Linked DNA regions of Mytilus edulis. The protein of the gene in region 2 interacts with the protein of the main gene of each other region in a pairwise test. Links are inferred from orthologs where the notes say so. Each region holds a gene or a part of one and is shown on either strand. Other genes may lie near its edges.

The links. The genes of interacting proteins can lie anywhere in the genome.
Region 1: the proteins of 14-3-3 protein beta/alpha-1-like (region 2) and slowpoke-binding protein-like interact in binary tests that used the Drosophila melanogaster proteins (3 or more experiments, as listed by UniProt). The link is inferred for Mytilus edulis from reciprocal best matches to the Drosophila melanogaster genes 14-3-3zeta and Slob.

Annotation. Positions count from the first base shown.
Region 1 is NC_092344.1:64,752,904-64,764,109, forward strand, and holds the start of slowpoke-binding protein-like, read right to left. Parts: upstream 5,101-11,206; 5' UTR 5,025-5,100; coding exon 4,989-5,024; intron 717-4,988; coding exon 652-716; intron 1-651. UniProt on the Drosophila melanogaster protein: Regulator of calcium-activated channel Slo. Increases or decreases the voltage sensitivity of Slo, depending on the absence or presence of 14-3-3-zeta in the complex, respectively.
Region 2 is NC_092355.1:77,869,613-77,881,417, forward strand, and holds the start of 14-3-3 protein beta/alpha-1-like, read left to right. Parts: upstream 1-7,526; 5' UTR 7,527-7,584; intron 7,585-7,727; 5' UTR 7,728-7,870; coding exon 7,871-8,185; intron 8,186-11,583; coding exon 11,584-11,731; intron 11,732-11,805. Other genes in the region: mRNA turnover protein 4 homolog, read right to left, coding at 271-374, 3,169-3,227, 7,250-7,277. UniProt on the Drosophila melanogaster protein: Required in Raf-dependent cell proliferation and photoreceptor differentiation during eye development. Acts upstream of Raf and downstream of Ras, and is essential for viability.

The sequences.
Region 1 (11,206 bases), on a different chromosome or scaffold from region 2:
TTTTGACTAGAATGAATATCAGTTATACATGTTATACTGAAATGTTCATGATTTACATTTTTTATCCTTATATATCATGTATATATCTTTGAAATATATGAACTTCTTGGTCACACTGTATATCATTTTTTTTTTAAATAAGTGTAAATTAAAAATAACACTATACATTTCATGGGCGTATAATATAAAACAGGTTTTGTGTGGTGACCGTGACTATATATATAGTGTCTCATAAGCCTTTCTAGGCTGGGTATTTGTCTTATTTTATCATTGTGCAATGTATATTATATAATCTGTATAAAAAATCTGTAGACAAGTATGTGACACTTTAATAAAATAAATTATTATTATTATTATTATTATTATTTACTAAAATAAAAGTCTGACTTCTTGACCGAGAAAACCTTATTCTCAACTATTTCATTGATTTGTAGGAAAATTATAAATGAATAATTTTTTTACATTTCAAAATATTTTTAAATCAAAATATGATATTGCAGTACGTCTTGATCATTTCCCCAAACTTCCACAGAATTTTCTATTCAACTTTTCTGTAACTTTTTCTAATTTTTGTAGTGATGGTTCCAATGTTTGATTGCAGTCATAAGTTAGAACTCTTAAACGAATGACAATGAAAAATATATGACATACCTGCACATGCAATAAATTATAATAACTACAGCAATCAATAGGACAACACCAGCTACTATTGGAACCTGTAAATAATTTTATATTGATGATTAAAACAACAAAAGACAATCCAAAATATAACAAAAGACTCAACATATTCAAGTTGATTCTATGCAAAATGTAACAGTTGAACAAACAAGATGATTCAGTAAAAAATATAACAGTAGTTCACACAAAGTGATTCAGTAAAAGATTTAACAGTAATAAACACAAAATGATTTAGTGAAAAATATAAGTCATGACAGTAGTACACAGTAGCAAACCACAATATTATTTATGTGTACTGGGTAAATTTCCCTGTCTTGTTGCCTACATAAACATCATAATAAGCTTTACTATTTAAATATTGGTTTTGTATCCCTCAAATACCAGTTCCTACTGCTATGCATGTTATATTATCTTCAATACTATTTATTCTGTAATGCTTAGCCCGAATTAACTCCAAAGCCAAATTATGCCTGGTCAAAATATTTTGTTTGTCCTAGACCATGTTCACCATGTACACTTGTTCTAAGAAAGATAAATTTATTTAATACTCATATTTTTATAAAGCTTTGTTTAATTTGCATTCCATTAAGATAATCTCTACCATTTTACATTATTCTAACGGTAAACCATGTACACGAGTGAGGTTTATGAAATTTTTCAGATGTTTAGACTTTTGGGTTCTTTTCCTACGATATTGGGTAACATTCTTTTGCCACTGCCTATCACCCATGCACTTTTCTTTCCATAGAAGACATCAATAGCTCATAAAAAAGTCATATGATACCAAAATTTAAGTGGATTCTAAATTTTTTTTTCTTATGATTTCAGCTAGACCCAACTAAAGCCAATGCTTAACCCTTTCACCGATTGCTGCCCAGACAGAAGCTACTCTGAGACGATGGCTTCCCTGGCTACTTTTACTCAGGTGGGAGATCTTCATAATAAATGTCAATAAAAACTTGTTTGTAGTTATTTGTGTATTTATTTTATTCACTAACACCATGTTCACAGTTTGGTTTATGTTTTGATAACGTTTCTTCATAAAATATTCAAATTTTCAAATATTCAGCATTATATGAGTGAAATTCTCAAATTTCTGCTCTTTGACCCCAAATCGTAATTTTTTAACCCAAAACAGCAAACTTTTGAAAAATTTTATGAGGCTGTACAAATTCCTCACACTGAACGATGTCCATTCCAAGTGTTTTGTACATAAAACGACATTTTATGTTAAAAAAGTTTACTAGTTTTGCTTCAATTCTTCCATATTCTTTCAAAAAAAATGTGTCCTCATTTCAAATTCTCGAAAAAAATCCTCTGATTTTGACACGGTTTTCAACAAACGGAAGCGCCATGTTTACACTTTCATCCGGGTATTCATTAAAGAAAGATAACTCATGTTTGCACTTTTGAGCAGGAAATATAAAAGATGTATTCTGATCCCGGTAAAACGGGACTCATTGTCAGCCGTCTGAAGCGTGAATCCCGGTAAACCTGGACTCATCGGCGAAAGGGTTAATATAATGGTAAAAGTCTGAGTCAGCCTTTTCCTGCATTTCTAAAAAAAATCAAATATCCCAAAACCCTTATTCTGCTCTTTTAATAAACTTAGATTGAAATTAAATGACTTATCTATACCATGTATACTACTCAGAGGAGAGATGGATTTAATTAAGCCACAACTCCTCTGAAACCATACAAAAATCAGAATATCAATGACAAAAATATTTTGGATGACAATAAATATATGTTTTGTACTTCCTAAATTTGTCTTTGAAACAATCTTTTTTTCCACAAAAAACGCATTAATAGAAAATCAATGAGGCCTAAATTAAAATATTGTTTGTTTGCCCTTTTCCGACCCTATGTTTTGAAACAGGGTAGGTAGGTAGGTAAAATATTTTATTTTTTTTCCCAAAAAAATAACTTGGCTCGGTATATTATTTGTCATGGATAGGGAGGTAGGTATAATATTTTATTTTATAGATACAAACTCTGCATAATGTCATTTGTGTCCGTTTTGTTTTTGCAAATACGTTTTCAGGGACTATTAGTTTTATAAAAAAATATCACGTAGAATGTGAAGCTAATTCATATGCACAGTACTATTTTGTTTTCAAAATATCAAAATATAGTGCTGTGCCGCATATCTTCAACGTTTATATGCCTGGAACTTTGAAGAGTTTGATCTTGCACTTATATTCTGTACTACGTACCTTGTATGTTTACCTAAGATTTTCTGTAAAAGATAACTTTGTACTGATTAGATCTATGTCCGGGCAGACATACATTACTAGTAGAAAAAGTCCCTAGAGTGTTAAAATGCTACAAGACTTAAAACTCTGAAAATTGTCACGTATTTTACATCGCCTTTATAAATGATCTGTATGGAAAACTTGGCGATTTTACTGCCAGATATTCTCCACTTTACAGGGTTTTGTCACTTGATTCATGTCAGATATAAATAATATAGCGGCATCGTTAACATAATCATCCTGATCTGCGGATCACAAAAGGCCATCCCTACATAGAATAAAACGTCCGTTTACAAATTAGTTTGTACACACGTTGATAATTTTGTATCAAACCAACTTATTTGTAAATGAACCCTGCTCTTATAAAGGTACAGAGTAGCGTACGTGATTTCAGTAAGCGTTCACATGCTGAACATCGATTTCAAACAAATGCTTTGAAACTTCAAATGCAAGTGTTAATGTCAAACGCTCAGGTGATACCAAACGGACTGGACATTATACGTTAAAGATAAAACCCGAGAATTCCGGTTAAAATTGTTTTGAGCGGGAAATACAAATATAAGATTTTTGGTAGGAACGAAAAAATAAATTAAAATAAAAACTTGCTGGTAAATACAAATAAAAGATTTTCAGGCGCCACGAATTTATAGGGTCGGTCGGTAAAGGGCAAACAATCAATATTTTAATTTAAGCCTGAAAATAGGACATTTCCTGTATTGTTTTGTAAGTATGTAAGTGCATTAGTTTTCTAAATTAAACGACATCCATCTGTTTTACAAAATGCAGAACTGTCCATTGGGAAAATGAAAGGGGCATTGAACTTGTGGAAGTGATCCTCTACCCTTTTTATATGTAAACACAAGTTTATAAAATTTATGTAGGAGAAACGTTTTTATGATGAATAAGGTATAAGAAAAAAAGATTGCATTTTAAAAATATATATTTATATTGTTAACAGGTTCATTTTTTTATATTCCCTAGCTTAGAGAGAAAAACAGTATTAAATTTGAACTTCTATCATCATCTTAAGGTTCATCATAACCTTTTGGCTAAAATGTCCGTATTTACACCCCAAATTTTACTCTGAATACAGACTAACCTATACACCTGCAACAGTTTTAAGGGATGGCAGGAACTAGATATATAAATTTTAAATGCATTTTATGTTTCAGAAAATTATAAACTTTTCTAGATTTTGCTATCCATTTTTTTTCGTTCCTGCAGAAGGTGCAAAAATTAGTAGTGAAAACGATTGAGAAGCTCCCCTCATATAATCAATGTTGTGAGTAGTATTGATTTAAATGGACAATAGACACCTGTAAACAATAGGTGATTTAACAGGTTTAAACTGTGTAACTGAGTGGACCGAATCAAATGAAACTCGGGTGTTTGTTTATTTTGCTATCTTCTGCAGACTGGAAAAAAATGAACATCAAAATCCAGGTAAGTTTTTAATTTTCTGAAACGTAGACTTCATATAACTTTTATATATCTAGTTCCTGCCATGCCTTTAAACTTTCCTGGATGTACCAGTTTTACCTGTACTCATAGTAATTTTAGAGGTGTAAACACGGCCATATTTTTCAATTCCTTATGATGAACCTTAATTCATATCAGCCGGTTCCACTCGTTTTATTTTCAGCCATATTTAACCCGGTCACGTGATAGGGCGAACTAGGCATAGCCCGACCTATAACAAATGAAGCAGCCCCACAGGCACCTGAATTCTGTACCCCTACCGATTTTTACGTGTTTACGCTCCTACCCAATGTTTTGACTAAAAGTTTAAGTCTTTTATCACTTATAACTGTATGAACTATCTTAAAACAATTGTATGTATGCATGTTTTCTATTTTTTGCGTTATTGTATAATTGTTGTTATTGATAAACGTTACGGAGGGATATTTCAATCCGGCAGTAAAGTATATGGAAGAGACTTTCTCTGAGTGTTTTTGACTTTGGAAGTTCAGTTTCGACCCAACTTTTTTGTTCGTTTTCTCAGGTTTTCGAAATTCATGGTTCGTATTTATGGAATTGTGTACATCTATCATTTACCCAGACATTATCCTCTAAGAAAGTTCTAAATGACATTTCTTCAATTCAGCAGTAACATCATTTAAACTTTGAGATGTTGCACCGTGTGCTAATCGTTCAAGGGAGATCATATGACAGACGACGGAAGTTTACACGGGGGACAACTCTATTTTTTCCAAATTGACATTTGGCGGGAAAACCGATTAGTAATTTAAAAAAAAGTCATTTCAGTTCAAAGTGCCTACAATGTTCACTAGTTCGACAGTAAATAACGAAATGGTGTAATATAAATCGTAATGTTGAAATTCCAACCTGTGAACAGTATATATGATGAATATTAAAAATATGGCAGTGGTTATTTTGCATGCTCTGATTAAAATATTTTAATCCAAGCCGGCAAAATAGCCTATTCTAAAGAATTGGCTATTTTGCCGGCTCCAGCAATATAGTCAATTCGTTATTTTGCAGGTTCTTTGTAAAGAATGAAATTTAATATTTTAAAAAGTACTATGAAAATGTGCACTGTCAACATAAAAGAATCCAATACTGACCGTTATATTCGTTAATTAAAACATTTCTCTGTCAAAAGTGTAAATATATTAATAACATGTATATGTATGCATAAAAATAAAATCTCATATTTTTTAACTGTATGTTATGAACCGGTATTGCATCATAAATTTGATAAAACATTATACAATATAACAAAGTGAATCACATGCATGTCTTAAAATATACGGTATGGATTTGTTTTAGAGCCGCAAAATTCAACGGAAATTGTCCCTGACATGAAATCAATGCTTGCAATGTACTAAATGTACTGAACGATGATCCCCATGAATAATTAATGTGCTAGTTCCCATTTAATAATGATGAAAAAACATAATCCCTTTTTGCTGGTGATAGATATATCTGAACCTAGTCATATGTATATGCTTTTCCATTTTTGAAATTTGTCCATCATAAAGAATCAAAAGATGCATGATATGATACACAACAAGATAAATGTCAACCAGATACTAAAAGTTAGAAACTCCGAGTAGAAACTATTATAGTTCGCCGTAACGGCAGTCTTTTACTACAATAAGCAAAACCCATGATATATACCGCATTTATACAATAAAGCTTTCCGAAAGGCCACGACATGCATGAATCGATAAATTCAATGGTAAACAACTCAAACGAGATAACCAACGGCCTGATTTATGTTTTGCGGCTTATTGTGTTGATGAGCTGCTGTCTATATTAATTAAGCTTCCTTAAGACATGTTAGAATCATTGGCTTTTTTTTTTAAAGGTCATAAAAACTACACGAGGGCAGGGGTCTTATTGTAACATGGCTATTGAATATTGTAAATTTATCACTCATGTTTTTATGTTTTTTTATATCTTTTTTGTATACTGTTTTTTGTTTATCTTTTGTTTAAACTTTTATTGCCATACACATTGTAATACAATTGAATGTATTAAAACGGCTTATTATAATAGGAAAACTGTGAGATGAATCCTTTCTTCTTCCAAAGTAGCAACATATTTGAATCTGTATATCTTGATGCATGATCATTCCTGATATTTATTGAATTTATTAAAACGTACGTCTTAATAGGAAATATGCGAGACGAATCTCTTCTTCTACAAAATTAGCAACGTATCTGAATCTGTATATCTAGATGCATTTTCTATTTCTGATATTCATTGAATTTATTAAAACCACTTCTTAATAGGAAAACTGTGAGAAGATCGAATCCTTTCATCTTCCAAAGTAGCAACGTACATGTACTTGAATTTGTATACAAAGATGCATTTTCTATTTCTGATATGATCTATTGCATTTATTTCAATAGGCTACTGTAAGACGAATCTTTTCTTCTTCCAAAATAGCGCCGTTCTTGAATTTGTATACATATCCAGATGATCCGAGATACATTTTCTATTTCTGCTATTCATCCATAAAGATGTTAAGGGAATTGTTCTATCAGATGTTTCCATTTGTAGTTCTCTGTGATATATACAATGATAGATGTAACGAATAATGAGACACAAATAACTTTATATATTGCCTAGGAGAATGATATATGATCAGATTAGTTCTTTTGATTTTCTTTATTGATCAAGATTATGTCACGTGATCGATGCTAATCAAGTATACGGATTCTTATATCAGTGAAAGTTTTGATGTAGTCTACAGTAAAATAAATATAAATACGTCTAGACGTATTAACGAAAAATAAGGCAGGATGTAATTTGTTATAGCTCAGACCAAAACGTACGAAATGTAAATGGTTGTATAAAAAGGCCATTCAAGAAGCTGTTTCCAGATAATATTCATCAATGTATGTAGGATGTATTAGGAGAAGCATATCATAACTGCGATAGCCTTTCTAAGATATGTATAATATCCATTGGGAATTTGAGACTATTTAATTCCATATAAAATCTAACTTGTTCGTATTCTTGTTAAACGGTTTGGATTGGTCAGGTTTATTCAAAACAATTATTATAACACATTTTGATGTGAAATATATGATTTTTGTCAAACTGTACAGACTTCTTCGAAATCAATCCTCGAAATTAGAAGACCAATTAATATTGGTGTTTTACTGACATTTAAATCAGTCCAAATATAATGGAATTTTATTATAATCCACGGAGCAAATCGGATAAGCAACCTTGAACAAACAGGGGATTTCATCATACATTCACACCAACGCCAGCATGCCTTATTGAAAAACGCAATTTCTATTATACGTATGCAGCGTTTTCCATGTCTTCACTGATATCGCCGATCGACGTCATATCATACCCCAACCTTGTCTCTCAGTCCGATATTGGTGTCTCGAGATGATTCCCTTTCAATGTATAATGATATCTTTGTTAATTAAGTTTTCTACAGTTTCATCAAATTTTTATATGTTCATAGTTTTGTCCAATGCTATATGATATAAAACCAATAATCATGTATTTCTAAATATTTGAACTGTTCATTGACTGATTTTGACATTTTGAGACTGAAATTTTCTAGTTTAAATTCTGTATATGGCCACTGATATTTCATTTAATAGACAAAATAACTGTATAAGAATGCTTTATCTCAAAATATACGTAACTATTCTTCGTCATATTTTAGATACGCGTGCAAACGTGTGTGATTTTTCTTTTTATTCGTGGGGGCCATACAAAGTTTCTAATTGTTCCTGTACGATTTTGAAAAAAAAGTTTTAAAAAAAAATGGTGAAGAAAAGCATAAATGATTGGCGACTTTTGTAAATATACTGTTCTTCTTTGTGGCCATATATAAATGTATATAATGTTATCAATATACTGTTCTAATGGATGACCTGAAAAAAGTACATATTTTGTGAAGACAGAAGGAATAGTCTAATCGACTTATTTTGTCGTTATGTTTCAGGCGGCATGTTTCATCATAAAGTCAGACAGTACCTTAAACTCATATTAAAATATATTAATTTTACAACAATAGAGAAAACCATTAAATTGATTGGTTTCCAATTTCATTGCTATTCTAAAACTACATCATACTGACTCAATTTCAATTAAGCTTTTATTTTTATATCAAGCCGATTAATAATGACATCCGAAAACAACTTCTACCGACTAATGCTTACGTCTTTGTTCAGACTCATTTCTCAGCCCAACGTGCAAAATTTAATTTGTATCGAATTTATTCTATTTCAATAAAACAATAAACTAAGCAGACAGTAATCAATATAAATGTGTGGTAAATAGTATCATGAGATCTTTAGAGAGAACTCGGTTGCCTCGTAGGTGTAATTTTTAATTCCGATTGTCTACAGGGTTTACTTTGACATACAGCTAGTCCAATCAAAGTTATATTATTTTTGAATTGAAGAATATATAGCTACTCTTGTACATACTGAAGCAGTGCGCTATATCGTTTTCAAAGAGCGGTGATACATAGCCAAGCCACACGTTCAATACAACAATCCTTTCGATCTGCAATCTATCCTTCACTTCAATCGAATAGCTGTCCATTCTGACGTAGCAGTTTTGTAATTTTAACTTGACCGTCGAAAATATGTAAATTTCGGTTGCTTACCGAAACAAAGCATTTTAGAACTGGCAAATATGAAAACGAATCAACGGGCTATAAACGCTAGAAGTGATTGTAAATGTTTTTTTCTCCGATGTAAAAAAAAAAAATACCAACTGAAGATTTTTTTTTTAGATTATGAGTGTTTTTAACTGAGAGGAGTTTTTAAAGCGTGTGTCATATATTCGAAAAAAATCATACAAATTTGAAAATGCAGTACGATTGCCAATGAGATAAATCTCCACTATAGACCACATGACAAGAAGCCATGCAACAACCATAGGTCTCTGCACGGCCTTCAACAACGAGCATAACCAATACCACACAGCAAGCCACAAGAGGCACCAACATGGTCACATGAAAAACATTAAACATGCTTGAAACATCGACAAAAAGACTTTAAACAAATATTGATAAAATCACGAAACTTGCACTGCTTAGAACCTTACGCCACATTTCAGTCGATACTTTATGGGTTACCTGTCATCAATTCTAATTAATGTTGATTGAAAATACTTCTTTCATGCAGTTAATACCAGTTCATTGGTGTTGGCGTGTTTAAAAAATATATATGTAGCTAAAGAACTTTGTCAAGGTTTGAATAATCAAAAATATTTTCCCTTGAATTACTGCATGATGTATATCTTTGTTAATTAGTTAACAACTGGCAAAGAAGTAGTGTGAAGTAATATCCATTATTAAACGGAAAACATTTCACCGGAATACAGAATTTAAACTGTGACTGACCGCGTCTTCGTTAGTGATGTTGGTGGATTTTTTGTTGGGGTGTAAAAGTGGGGGGGGGGGGGGGGGGGGGGAGGGGCTGGGGCTCTAGAAATGTTGCAAGTGTCAAAGTTGAAATGTCAAAAATATTATTGAGAATGATGAAAAAAAGCTATGGCAGTAGTACGAATATACGAAATAGTGTGTTTTGCTGGTTTGTTTTAGGATCAAAATATAGTGCTTCAACTATTTTGATCGACTTTACTAAAGTTAATTGAAGTCAGTAGGAGAGAGAAAGGCACACCAACATGTTTTATCTCAATCCTATCCCTATGACGGCCCCAGTCCCTATTGCAATTACCGATTATGCTTCTTACAATATATAGGTATCATCTTTCTATATTGCACCACACACAAATTAAAATTGCCCCCATTTCCACTCTTTTACTGAAACTGTTTCCAGAGTTCATGAATCGTTTCCAATTAATCTTAGGATCAAAATAAATGTACTAAATATCTCCCACATTCGAATCAATCATTCGAGAAATGTTCATTCAATAATTTTATGAGTAGTTCCGTGTGAGATCAATAAAACGACATTATTGGAAACTTTGGCAATATTTCCCCCCATTCAGCAGCTGATTTTGTACATCATCAACCGCTTCAGTTATTTTTAGCAGAAAATAAGCTCAAGTGTTTACTTAATTTAACTTGCAGAATTCTTTAGAGGAATAGATGTGGCGTGTAGGTTTTTTTTTGGATATTAAATCAATGTATATATAAATGTAAGTATCCTTTGCTTTTTTACCTCAGCTTATGTAAGATAGTTGTACATAATTGAGTTGATTATTGTAAAAATCACTTAATTACGTACGCAAAGTATTGAAATCTACAACTTTTTATGTCAAATCTGATGTATCACTAAACCAATACACTATTTCTTATCACGATAGACCCATCAAAATTTCATGGCGATTGAATGTATTCAACAGCAGTGTACGAATTCTCTTGTTGCTATATTCACACATTATTTTTATTTTGTAGCAAAATCATAGTATTGTTTAAAGATATATTTATTCATGTCGACAATTAACAAATCTCCTATACCATCCATGTTACTCCTTTTTTTAAAATTTCAAATTAATCAAATTGCGTGTCTGAATTTTAGTAAAAATAATTAATATAGAAGTTAGAAGAATGTGTTTGAAACATGAATGATTATATTACTCTTGTGTGTTTCTTTGAGTTATTTGAAATCAATTCAGAAGTTGAATGGATATAAAATCATCATTCTATAGTATCTTCATTTATACAAACCTTAATTTATATTTTTCCTGATTGCATTACCTATAAGGTATCCATAAACTTTATTATCTTGCTCCGAATTCTTCCTTTTATGTTATTTTATTTTGACAATTTATCAAATAAAAATGTTTAACCAATC
Region 2 (11,805 bases):
TACAAAAAGAGCATTCAATTCTTAAGTAATTTTCTATAAGAGGCAGCTCATACATTTTTGAGTTTTGTATGATGTCATTTCACTGAAAAGTATATATTTTCATTTAGGGGGCTAGCTGAGGCCCGCCTGTGGTGCAACATTTTCTCAATGCATTGAGGACCCATTGGAGGCCCTAGGCTGTTTTTTTTCTTTATATTCTCTTTGACATATTCCCGATTTCCATTCTCAATTTTATGTTAACCTTATGAATTTGACTACAATTACTTTTACCTGCTATGATTCCATTCCTGTCTGACATCTTTTAACTGCATGTTTCTCATGTTGTGAACAGAAAACAGGAAAATTCTCTTGTATTTGTTGGCACATTCTCGTATCTGAAAATAATAGTTTATTATACTTTAACCCTTTCCTCCATTGACATTTTTTTTAAACATACCTGATTCGCATAGGATTTTTTCAATTAAAAATAATCATCAGGTTTAAAGTATCAATGCATTGCAAAAAGGAATATTTCATCAATGAAATTCCAGTCAAATATTCTCTTGAATATCATTTTATATTAGATACAAATTTTATTAGGTCTGAGGCTTAAATTAAAATATTGATTGTTTGCCCTTTACCGACCGACCCTATAAATTCGTTGCGCCTGAAAATCTTTTATTTGTATTTACCAGCAAGATTTTATTTTATTTTATTTTTTCGTTCCTACCAAAAATCTTATATTTGTATTTCCCGCTCAAAACTATTTTATCCGGAATTCTCGGGTTTTATCTTTATCGTATAAGGTCCAGTCCGTTTGGTATCACCTGAGCGTTTGACATTAACACTTATACATTTGAAGTTTCAAAGCATTTGTTTGAAATCGATGTTCAGCTTGTGAACGCTTTCTGAAATCATGATATGACGTACCCTACTCTGTACCTTTAACTTAAAAGAGCATGGTTCATTTACAAAAAAGTTCGTTTGATACAAAATTATCATCTTGTGTACAAACTAATTTGTAAACGGACGTTGTATTCTATGTAGGGATGGCCTTTTGTGATCCGCAGATCTCCTGATGATTATGTTAACGATGCCGCTATATTATTTATATCTGACATGAACCAAAAGTGACAAAACCCTGTAAAGTGGAGAATATCTGGCAGTAAAATCGCCAAGTTGTCCATACAGATCATTTATAAATGCGATGTAAAAAACGTGACAATTGTCAGAGTTTTAGGTCTAGTAGCATTTTTATTGGAAACAAAGGCACACACGATGTTTTTAACACTCTAGGGACTTTTTCTACTAGTGATGTATGTCTGCTCAGACATATATTATCAGTACAAAGTTATCTTTTACAGAAATTCTTAAGGTAAGCATACAAGGTACGTAGTACAGAATATAAGTGCAAGTTCAAACTCTTCAAAGTTCAGGCATATAAACGTTGAAGATATGCGGCACAGCTCTATTTAGTTATATTTGAAAACAAAATAGTAGTGCATATGAATTAGCTTCACATTCTACATGATTTTTTTTTTAAACTAATAGTCCCAGAAAACTTATTTGCAAAAACAAAACGGACACCAATGACATTTATATGCATCTATAAAATAAAATATTATACCTACCTGCCTACCCATGACAAATAATATACCGAGCCAAGTTATTTTTTTGGGGAAAAAAATAAAATATTTTACCTACCTACCTACCCTGTTTCAAAACATAGGGTCGGAAAAGGGCAAACAAACAATATTTTAATTTAGGCCTGATAAAGATTTTTCCTAGGTAAGACGTTTCAACTGAGGCACTACACAGGCATCAAAAGGCGTCATTATGGAGTAAAGGGGGTGGCGTCAAAAAATGTCATTATGGAGTAAAGGGTTAAAGAAATTTTTAAACAGTTTTCATCAATTTTCATTTTATTGAAACATGATGTATGCCTTTTTGTGCTTCTTCGTTACATTTGTTGTTTTTATAGTGATTAAGATGATAACATAATGTTGACTGCTGTACCCCTATTTTTGACATTTTTACTCTTTGAGTATGTTTGTTTTGTTCACACATCGTTGACAATGTAATGGAATTGGATGTGACTGTCATATAAGTGAGAGGTTTAGCTAGCTATAAAACCAGGTTCAATCCACCATTTTCTACATTAAAAAATGCCTGTACCAAGTCAGAAATATGACAGTTGTTATCCATTCGTTTGATGTGTTTGGACTTTTGATTTTGCCTTTTGATTTTGGACTTCCCTTTTTGAATTTTCCTTGGAGTTCAGTGTTTTTGTGTTTTTACTTTTTATTTAAATTTAGAAACACAGCTTTATCACACTAGTAGAAAAAAGTATAAAAATAAGGAGATGTGATATGATTGACAATGAGACAACTATCTACCAAAGTTCAAATAAAGTGGATGAACGCAATTATAGGCAACTGTATGCATGGTCTTCAACAAAGAGAAAAACCCATACCATGTGATCAAAATTGGTTGATAGTTGTCTCATTGTCAATCATACCTCATCTCCTTACTTTTATGTTATGTTGTTGGTTTTAGCAAATACATCATCTATCCGCCTCTGTTTCAGTTCTAAACCTTTCTTCTTTGTCTTATCTTCTTATTATATTACTGTAAATTCAGAAATTATAGCGTGCATTTATTATTACGATTTGTAATTTAAAACTTATATGCGATTTTAATTTTTATGATTTTGAGAAAAATCCTGTTTTATGCGAGTTTAAATTATTGCGTTTACAACTCTGTCACATTTTTCGCAATAATAAAATCCTCGCATTAATTTCTGAATTTACAGTATATTGTTGGTTTTTAGTACTTACATCATCTATCAGCCTCTGTTTCAGTTCTAAACCTTTCCTCTTTGTCTTATCTTTATATTATATAATATTGTTGGTTTTTAGTACTTACATCATCTATCAGCCTCTGTTTCAGTTCTAAACCTTTCCTCTTTGTCTTATCTTTATATTATATAATATTGTTGGTTTTTAGTATTTACATCATCTATCAGCCTCTGTTTCAGTTCTAAACCTTTCCTCTTTGTCTTATCTTTATATTATATAATATTGTTGGTTTTTAGTACTTACATCATCTATCAGCCTCTGTTTCAGTTCTAAACCTTTCCTCTTTGTCTTATCTTTATATTATATAATATTGTTGGTTTTTAGTACTTACATCATCTATCAGCCTCTGTTTCAGTTCTAAACCTTTCCTCTTTGTCTGTGTTAATGAAACTAAAAAGATACATATACATTTTGTTAGTCATAAAACATTTGAAGCATCATTTAGGCCACGGTTTTTTTATTTGTTGGTTTACGGATCCGCCGACCCGATTTTGCCGATTTTCAGAATAAAAATAAAATTGACTTTTCATGCTTTTTTATTCCCGCCGACCCTTATAAATGCATTATCCCTGAAAAATAATTAAAATTTTCCTTTATTATGAAATGAAATGCATTAATCATTAACAAAGTTGATAACACTTTCTGTTGTGAAAAATAAAACTTCCAATTTACGTTTCTGAAAATAGACAAATCAATTATAACTGACCTTGAAATGTCTTTTGCGCAAATAATTTTGCGTAACGAAACCTGTGTTTAAAACCAATTACAAATTAGTTCGTTTCCCTTATTTGTCATCAGTCCGTAAGATGCATCATCTCAGAGAAATAGACTTGTCCAAATGTGCCATTCCAGTTAATTTCTGACAGGTTGGGATGGATGGGGAGATTTTTTTTCATACCTATCAGAAAAAAACATCATGTAAAACTACCTATCAGATCTATAAATTAAGACCTATCAGATTTAGAGTTCCTGTTCATATTTGGTGGATGGCTTTCATGGGAAAAATTGACCTATCAGAATTTTTTACTGCAAGGATTGTACCCATCAGAATTTTAAATACAATACCAGATAATGCATGATACGAAACTTTTTTACATTCCAAAGCACCCCTAAGATCTGAAATAGGTTTTTTTTGTAACCCCTAAGATGTAATTATTTTTAATTATTTTCTGCTGCAAGACCCTCAGAAATTTTTGCGTATATGTGTACGTGTCAGATGAAAAAACCCAAAATTTCACCCCTAAGATGTATAAATTTTACACCCCTCAGAAAGGACCATCCATCCTCCTTTAGCAGATATTAACTGGAATGGCCCAATGTGGACAGGTGGAATACATCAATTAAAGTACTGAATATTAACAAATCATTTGAAATTTTCTTGTTTCATAGATAACAAAAAATATCAATCATTGGGATAAAAACCGGATTGCATGACAACTGATTAACCCGATATTGTCGTTTTTCCAGTGGACGAGTCTATTACGTTTTTCGACACGTGTGTTGAAACTTATTTTTGTACGACGTTTTTATATTTTTTTTCTTTATCAGTTTTTGTGCTTGAAGATCATTATTCACCAAGTTTTCTGAGAGCTACGCGAATCTGTTTTTCTTGTTTGTGAAATGACGATTTAATTTCGTGTTTGTCCGTGCAACCCCCCTTTTTTTACAGGAAATTATTAAACGATGTCATGCGATGTTCATGATCACTGATCAATAATATTTCATCGAACTTAATGTTAAGAAATGATGACAAAACAGCATATAAGATAAACATTTTGTTAGTAAGGTGAAATATATATTTATTTTGCATATTTTTTCTGTTTTGAAAGATATTTTTTTTCTTTTTTTTTCCGACCGACCGACCCGACTTTTTTATGCGAAAAATCCGTAAACCAACAAATTAAAAAACCGTGGCCTTATATGTAAAATAAAAAAATAACATTTAATTATAAATTTGGTTATCAACAGGCTCAAAACTAAATTTGTGTAACCAAATATGCATAGAAGTTTATTTTTGGACTAATTTAATTATGGTTAGATTTCAAATGGAGGAAAGAAAACCAACACCACCAATAACTTTTTTTTCAACTTGTCATGACAAGTACATACCAAAATTTACTTGTCCAAATGAAATTGTTACTTGTCCAAAAAATTTCTATTTAAAATAACCTTTTTTCATTTTTAGTTTATTAAAGGAGCAAAACGAATTTAAACAATATAACAGAATTTGACGGTTTTTTTAAAAAAATACTTTTAAAAATATGAGTCAAGTACAACTGAATCTAGTCATGTCACAGGACTTAGGTTCTAGTTCTCATCAATGCTAGTCTCATCACACTCTGCACATGAGTACCATCTGATAGGCCTGTATTCTCATTGGATTTGTATTTTGTATTTTTTTTTAAGTTGAAAAAAGTTTTTTTAAATGCAATCAATAAAAAGAAGAAGATAAGCCATTATAAGGTCTGATTGCCAATAAGAGAACTCTCTTCAAGAGACCAAATGACACAGAAATTAACAACTATATGTCACCATATTGCAAGTATTGTTTTTTTCTACTTATGAGTTTAGTGTCTTTACCCTGCAACTAATTTTGTATATTGTTCGTGCTTTGAAAGACACAAAAACTCAAAGTTTTATGCCTTAAAGCACTGCCTTTAAAAAAATCAATTAAATATAGTTATCTTAATTATTTTCCATTTCTTTCTTTTTTGAGACTCCATAAATTGGCTATTATGAGACCTCATTTTTACATTCAGAATGGTCTCAGATAGCAGGAAATAGAATGTAGTTCTGAAAAGTTTTCTTGTGGGGGGGGGGCATGCCCCCAAACCCTGCTAGAAGGTTCAGGTCGCTGACGCGACCCTCATCGGTGACTTAGGGCTAGGCTGTTTTTATCAGGACTACGCTGAACAAATTTACTCTAGACCTGTGGTCTTAACAACATTTTAAACTAAATTCTATCCCTGCTGAGTTGGGTAAGGCATATACTAATATGACTGAGTTATTCAGATATTAACAGGTCAGGAATAACCACCAATTAGTGGATTATACCTCAATTGACGTGTAATCCACCAATTGACATATATGGGTATAGACCAATTGATGTATAATGGGAGTTTTTTGTAAGAAAATGCTAGTGTGAGATAGGAGCATGATTTTGCAACTTGCAACCTATTTTATGACCTTTATTGAGTCCTCTGAAAGTTTCAGTTTTGCCAAAGCCTGCTGCATCTCTTGAGAATGCATGTGTACAACAGTTCTTTTGTTGAAACATTTGTACTATTGACCATGATTGACTTTTGATAATGAAAGTGAAGTATTTAAAACAAAGAGTTCCATTCACCTGTGGAGTTGTACTCATGATCACATGACTGCAGACAGTATTGATGTCCATTGACAGGTGATTAGTGGTAAATTTGCCAATCAAGAATTGACAAGATATATAACAATATAAGAAACTGCAAATACAATTATTGATTAAATTCATAGGCGGATCCAGGGGGGCCCTGGGGGGCCCAGGACCCCCCTTTCGTGGGAAAAATTTGGTTGATTATATAGGGAATCATTGAAGCATGACTGGAGCAGGCCACCTCTTAGGAAAAGTTCTGGATCCGCCACTGAAATGCAATATGTAATGTCACTATACTAAACTAGGAATGTTTTACAAGTTTTCATACCATAATATGTTTTTAAGAAGACAATGCTCCATTTTGGTGGAATAATTTGCTTTGAAAAACAAAGAATTATACACCAATTGGTCTATACCATTATATGTCAATTGGTGGATTATACATCAATTGAGGTATAATCCACCAATTGGTGGTTATTCTTGACCTGATTAATGAAAAAAATATCAAAATTGAAAGTGAAACAAGGTTGAACAATTTAGTTACACAATGTAACTACTTCAATAAGAAAACTGACAAACATCAATGAAGATTGGAGTTCAGGGTCACGTTCAATATCGTAGGGGCTACGTAAATTGATGACTATTGAACAAGTAGTTAGTATAGCTGCTACATAGTAATAGGCTAGCTACTAGTTCAATAGTCATAAATCTACGTAGCACTACATAGCCCCTACAATATTGAACGATATTGAACGCAACCCTTTGCACCAGCAAGAGCAGGGTTCGAACTCACAACCTCAGCGTTGACTAGCTAGAATCGGACTTCTTATCCCACTCGGCCCCCGAGGCCCCTTGTTAGTCACGAAAGTACCGTAACCCCCATAAAAACACTCATACAATGTACCTAGTAGTAGTAAAAAATAACTATAGTATAAAATTATAATCCCAAATATTTTCAAACTGTTAAAATTTCAGGGATTTTACAAAATGACTGTAACATTTATTTGTATTTTGTAGTGTGTATAAGCAGTTCTTTGAATAAACAACAATATAATAATACTTTTCTTGTCCCTTTTTGACTTTGGCATCTTGATAATAAAATGTACACAAACACACGTGTTTTTTTCAACCGGAAATAAGGAAATATTCCTGTTTTCAGGAATTGAATTAAAAAAATATTTTTATTAAAATTATTACACTTTTTATCAATTCCAATTCGAAAATATCATTGAAAATAATTTATGGTAAAGTTTTATTTATTAACAACGTTGACCTTCGACACCCGGCTAGGAGTTGACATAGCAACAGTGACGTTAGGGCTACCTTTTCGAAAGAATGTAATCCCCGAAATCTATCGAAAGAAATGGAATTCAAGAGAAGATAACCCACTTCCAGGTTTTAGGAATTTTGATGCAAAATAGTCCCACTGCATAATATATTCGATTATTCAAACGATAACTATTTTTATTCTTTTTAGTGAATTAATCTTCCCTGACATATTTTTATAGAATATAAACAATTAAACTTTATCATTTTAGTCCATGAAAATAAAGGAGTAGCGGAAGAATCAGTGATGTCACCTGTACTTTGATTGGTTAGTGTATTCCGCCATATTGGGAAGGTGGAGATAGAGTAAAGAGTAGTAGACTTCAAATTTCGATTATTTACAAATATTTTAACCATGTCGGAAGTCGAAGATAAAAAGGAACGCGAGACACTAGTTCAAAAAGCTAAGTTAGCTGAACAAGCTGAAAGGTATGATGATATGGCCGAGGCCATGAAAAAAGTGGTCGAAAAGTTTAGGAAGTTGAACAACGAGGAGAGGAATCTACTTTCCGTTGCCTACAAAAATGTTGTTGGTGCCCGGCGGTCATCATGGAGAGTAATTTCAAGTATAGAATCTAAGACTGATGGCACAGAAAAGAAACAGCAATTGGCTAAAGATTACAAAAACAAAGTAACAACCGAACTCCAAGAAATTTGCAAAGACGTTCTGGTGAGTGAAAGTTGACGGATGTTTCTTGTTGTGTCGTTTTGCGTGCAGTTTTCATTGCATGTTTATTTTTATTGTGTTTTCTTTAAGTTATAGATGTTTATATATCAAAGAAAATATATTCTACACCCGATCGCAATACACAGATTCAGATAGCATCGTTTTTGCATGTGCAGGAAGACGAGAATTTGGATCATCATAAAATTGGCATGTGTTTGTATATTCATCCGCGTCATTGATAAAAATGTAAAAATTTTGCATGAGTCATGAGCTCATCATCTCCTCTGCAGTATTATTGCAGATCTAGACACTCCGTGGACATCTTGAATGCAGTATGCAATGATTTATCTTATTGTTCACAGAATCAACAGCTTGGCAGCACTGATTATATAATGGAGCACTCTGCATAAATTATGCAAAAATGACAAACCTGTGTGATTTTCCACTATGAAGTACTAGTATCCATATTAAAATTGCCAGCAGTTTTTAAATGCATTATTCTTGGCTTGCATTTATATGAAGTCTGTAGGTGTATGCAACTTAAGACGTTATACATGTAGTTAAATGCATAAAAAATAAAAGAAGGTTCTTGTACCAAAGGATTTTAAAAAGGCTTAATGCACTATATATATATTTCTGAGTGTGCACTTCGTACAAATACATGAGATAATAGCTTGAATCGTTCAAAATTTGGGATAGGTCTCATTTTTCCTAAGCTGTATTTTTAAATTGCTAGTATTAATGTTTCCCTATGTATACAAACTGAAAGTACAAGAGAAAAAACAATATATAACCAGGTCTATTATTTAAATACAACCTTGATGTGCATGATGGAAGTATTTTTACAACAATCAATTAGTCAATATATCTACAGACTCACTCCATTCTGTAACAGTAACAAGACAGTTATAAATGTTCTGCTCTTTGATGATGGATGTTGTCTCTGCTACACATTCCTTGTTTTTCCATTCTCAATTGTATTTGTATAGAAGATGAAAAGGTTGTGTTTATTCCTATTGTTCATTTAATTTTAGACAGCATATTGCCATATAATATGTACATGTACATTGTGAAAAGGATCTGAATGGAAAGAATAAGGAAGCCGAGACAAGGGGTGTTTTTCAATTTATAACTTGATTATAATAAAACTTACTTCCCCTAAGGTCATGGTCTACTGATCATGAGTTTGAAATAATAAGCAATTTTTTAATGTTAACTTTTCTGTTTGAGTCAATTTCGTAGGAACTAGATCAAAAGTAGATATTTTCTAAAAGGTTGCATTACTATCAGTATCAGAACAAAAAATTTCCCGACTAACTCATCTCTGGTCATGATCTATGGACTTTATATTGTCAGGTCTTGACTTGTCTTGTACAAATGCACATGGTATGGAATGCAAGTTAATAGACCTTCGCTCTCTCAACTGTTTCTTCAGGCTACACCAAAAACTTTTTTCAACTACTAGTCCAAGACTAATATCCTAAACATTTTTATTATAGAGCCAAACAGTCCAAAGGACATTTTACTTGTCTTAGCCATCGGACTAGTGGCTAATCGTGCAGACTGCTGTTTGGTATATTTTTACCTGCATTGCCTAATCAAAGCCAACAACTTGATACAAATTAAAAAAAAAGGCCCTTCAACTGCACTTAAAATTAACCTTAAACCTTGCAAGTGTATAATTTGTTTTCAAATTCTTTTTGGCTTCTAAAAAGGACTGTATTATGATTTTAAATTTGGAATTTTAGAAGCCAAAAAGGAAAATGCATGAATTTTGGTATTCAGTTTGGCAGCTTTGTTAAGTAGAGTATGCACTTTTCACATCTGGTTGGGGGATTTGCTGCTGCAGCAGTTTGCATCAAAATCTTTTTCCAGTTCCCACTACCAAACTGAATACCAAAATTCCAACATTTTCCTTTAAAGACTTAATAAATTTTTGCAAACACATTTTATTTGTACTTACTGGTCTCAATAAAATTTTACTAGTCTAGGCATCAGACTACTGGTTATATGTAACTTATGGTAGAAGACATTTGAGCACTGGCTTTGCCAGGAAAGTGGAAATTTCTTTAAAAAAAACTTATGCCTAAAAGGGAGAGTGATTTTCATTTTTTAAAAAGCTTTGTTTCAGTGAAGTTGACTTAATGTCAGTGTACATTTGTTACTGTAGATGCCAACAGTTTGCAGAATATTTTATTAAAGATTTAATTTTTGTTGTCACCAAAACAGTGAAACAAATATGAAATGTTTTGTTATCTATGCATTCAAATAGTCATATTTGTGTTATATTAAAGCTTGGTCTCCATAGAACTTACATTTTGTTTTACAAAATATTATGAGAAGAAATAATGGGTTTATAATTTTTGTGGACCCACCACAGCCAAGTGTGCAGTGTTGCCCTTGTCCATCTGTAGTTGGGTCTGTCCATTCCAAAAATTAGTTTCTGTTCTATTTCTATTATGTGTGGTTCCAGTTACATCCTATTAAAAAGTAACTCAGTAGGTCGGCATTTTTTTTAAATTTCTTTTGTAATATTTCTTTTTGGATTGTCAAAATCTGGAAAAAATCTGGTGTTCCCCTGATTTGATTCTGGTATTATACAAGCCCAAACCAGAAGTTCACCATTTTACATGTTTGTTTGGAAAATAAACAGTCTGTTACATGTATGTTTGTAGTTCATTTGAATGCCTTCTGATATGAATTGTTGCATGTCAGTCTGCACGGTTAGCCACTAGTCCAATGCCCCAGACTAGTAAAATTTCCTTCGGACTAGCAAGTTTTTGCAAAACTTTGTTTGGCCAAATAAGAAAAATGTCAGAATATTGGTATTCGGACTAGTAGTTATAAAGTTTTTGGTGCAGACTGGCATGTTAACCTGATAACAGATACTAATGATGGAAATTCAGTTGATTGAAATCTATGAATTTAATTAATCAAATTCGCAATCTTCAAAAATGATCATTTGAAAAATTATTTTTAGAAATGAAAAAAAAGTTCTAGGGTCGGGGGGGGGGTTTCAACTAGGGTTGGTCGGGTACCTGGAACCAAGCATGAAATTTTATTTGGCCTAACCCAACCAAATATTATGTCACTTATAAACAACACTTATTTCAACAAAACACAGTTCAAGTGTGAATCAGGGTGGCATCACATTTACTGTTCTAGAACATGTAGAGTTATGCCCCTGTACAATTTCATTATTGTTAAATGTACATAATGTACTTTAACTTATAGTATACATGAACAATTATCTACCATCGCCTTAGGTTAACATCCCAATTGTTAACACCTGCAGGCTTGTCCTCCGAACGACATCCTACTTTGGGAAATTTTCTACTTATGCAACACACTGTTGTCAACATTTAAGTAGATATTCACTTTTAAATCTTCATTTTTTACAGCATCTGCTTGATGAACATTTATTAAAAGAAGCTACTGAAGATACAGATAGTGGAAATGAAAGCAAAGTGTTCTATTTAAAAATGAAGGGAGATTACTACCGATATCTGGCAGAGGTTACAGATGAGGATGGGGCTGAGGGTAAACAAGGTAAATACATTGTGCTCAAATGATCTATTGATCTCCTCGTAAAGGGAGATTACTACCGATATCTGGCAGAGGTT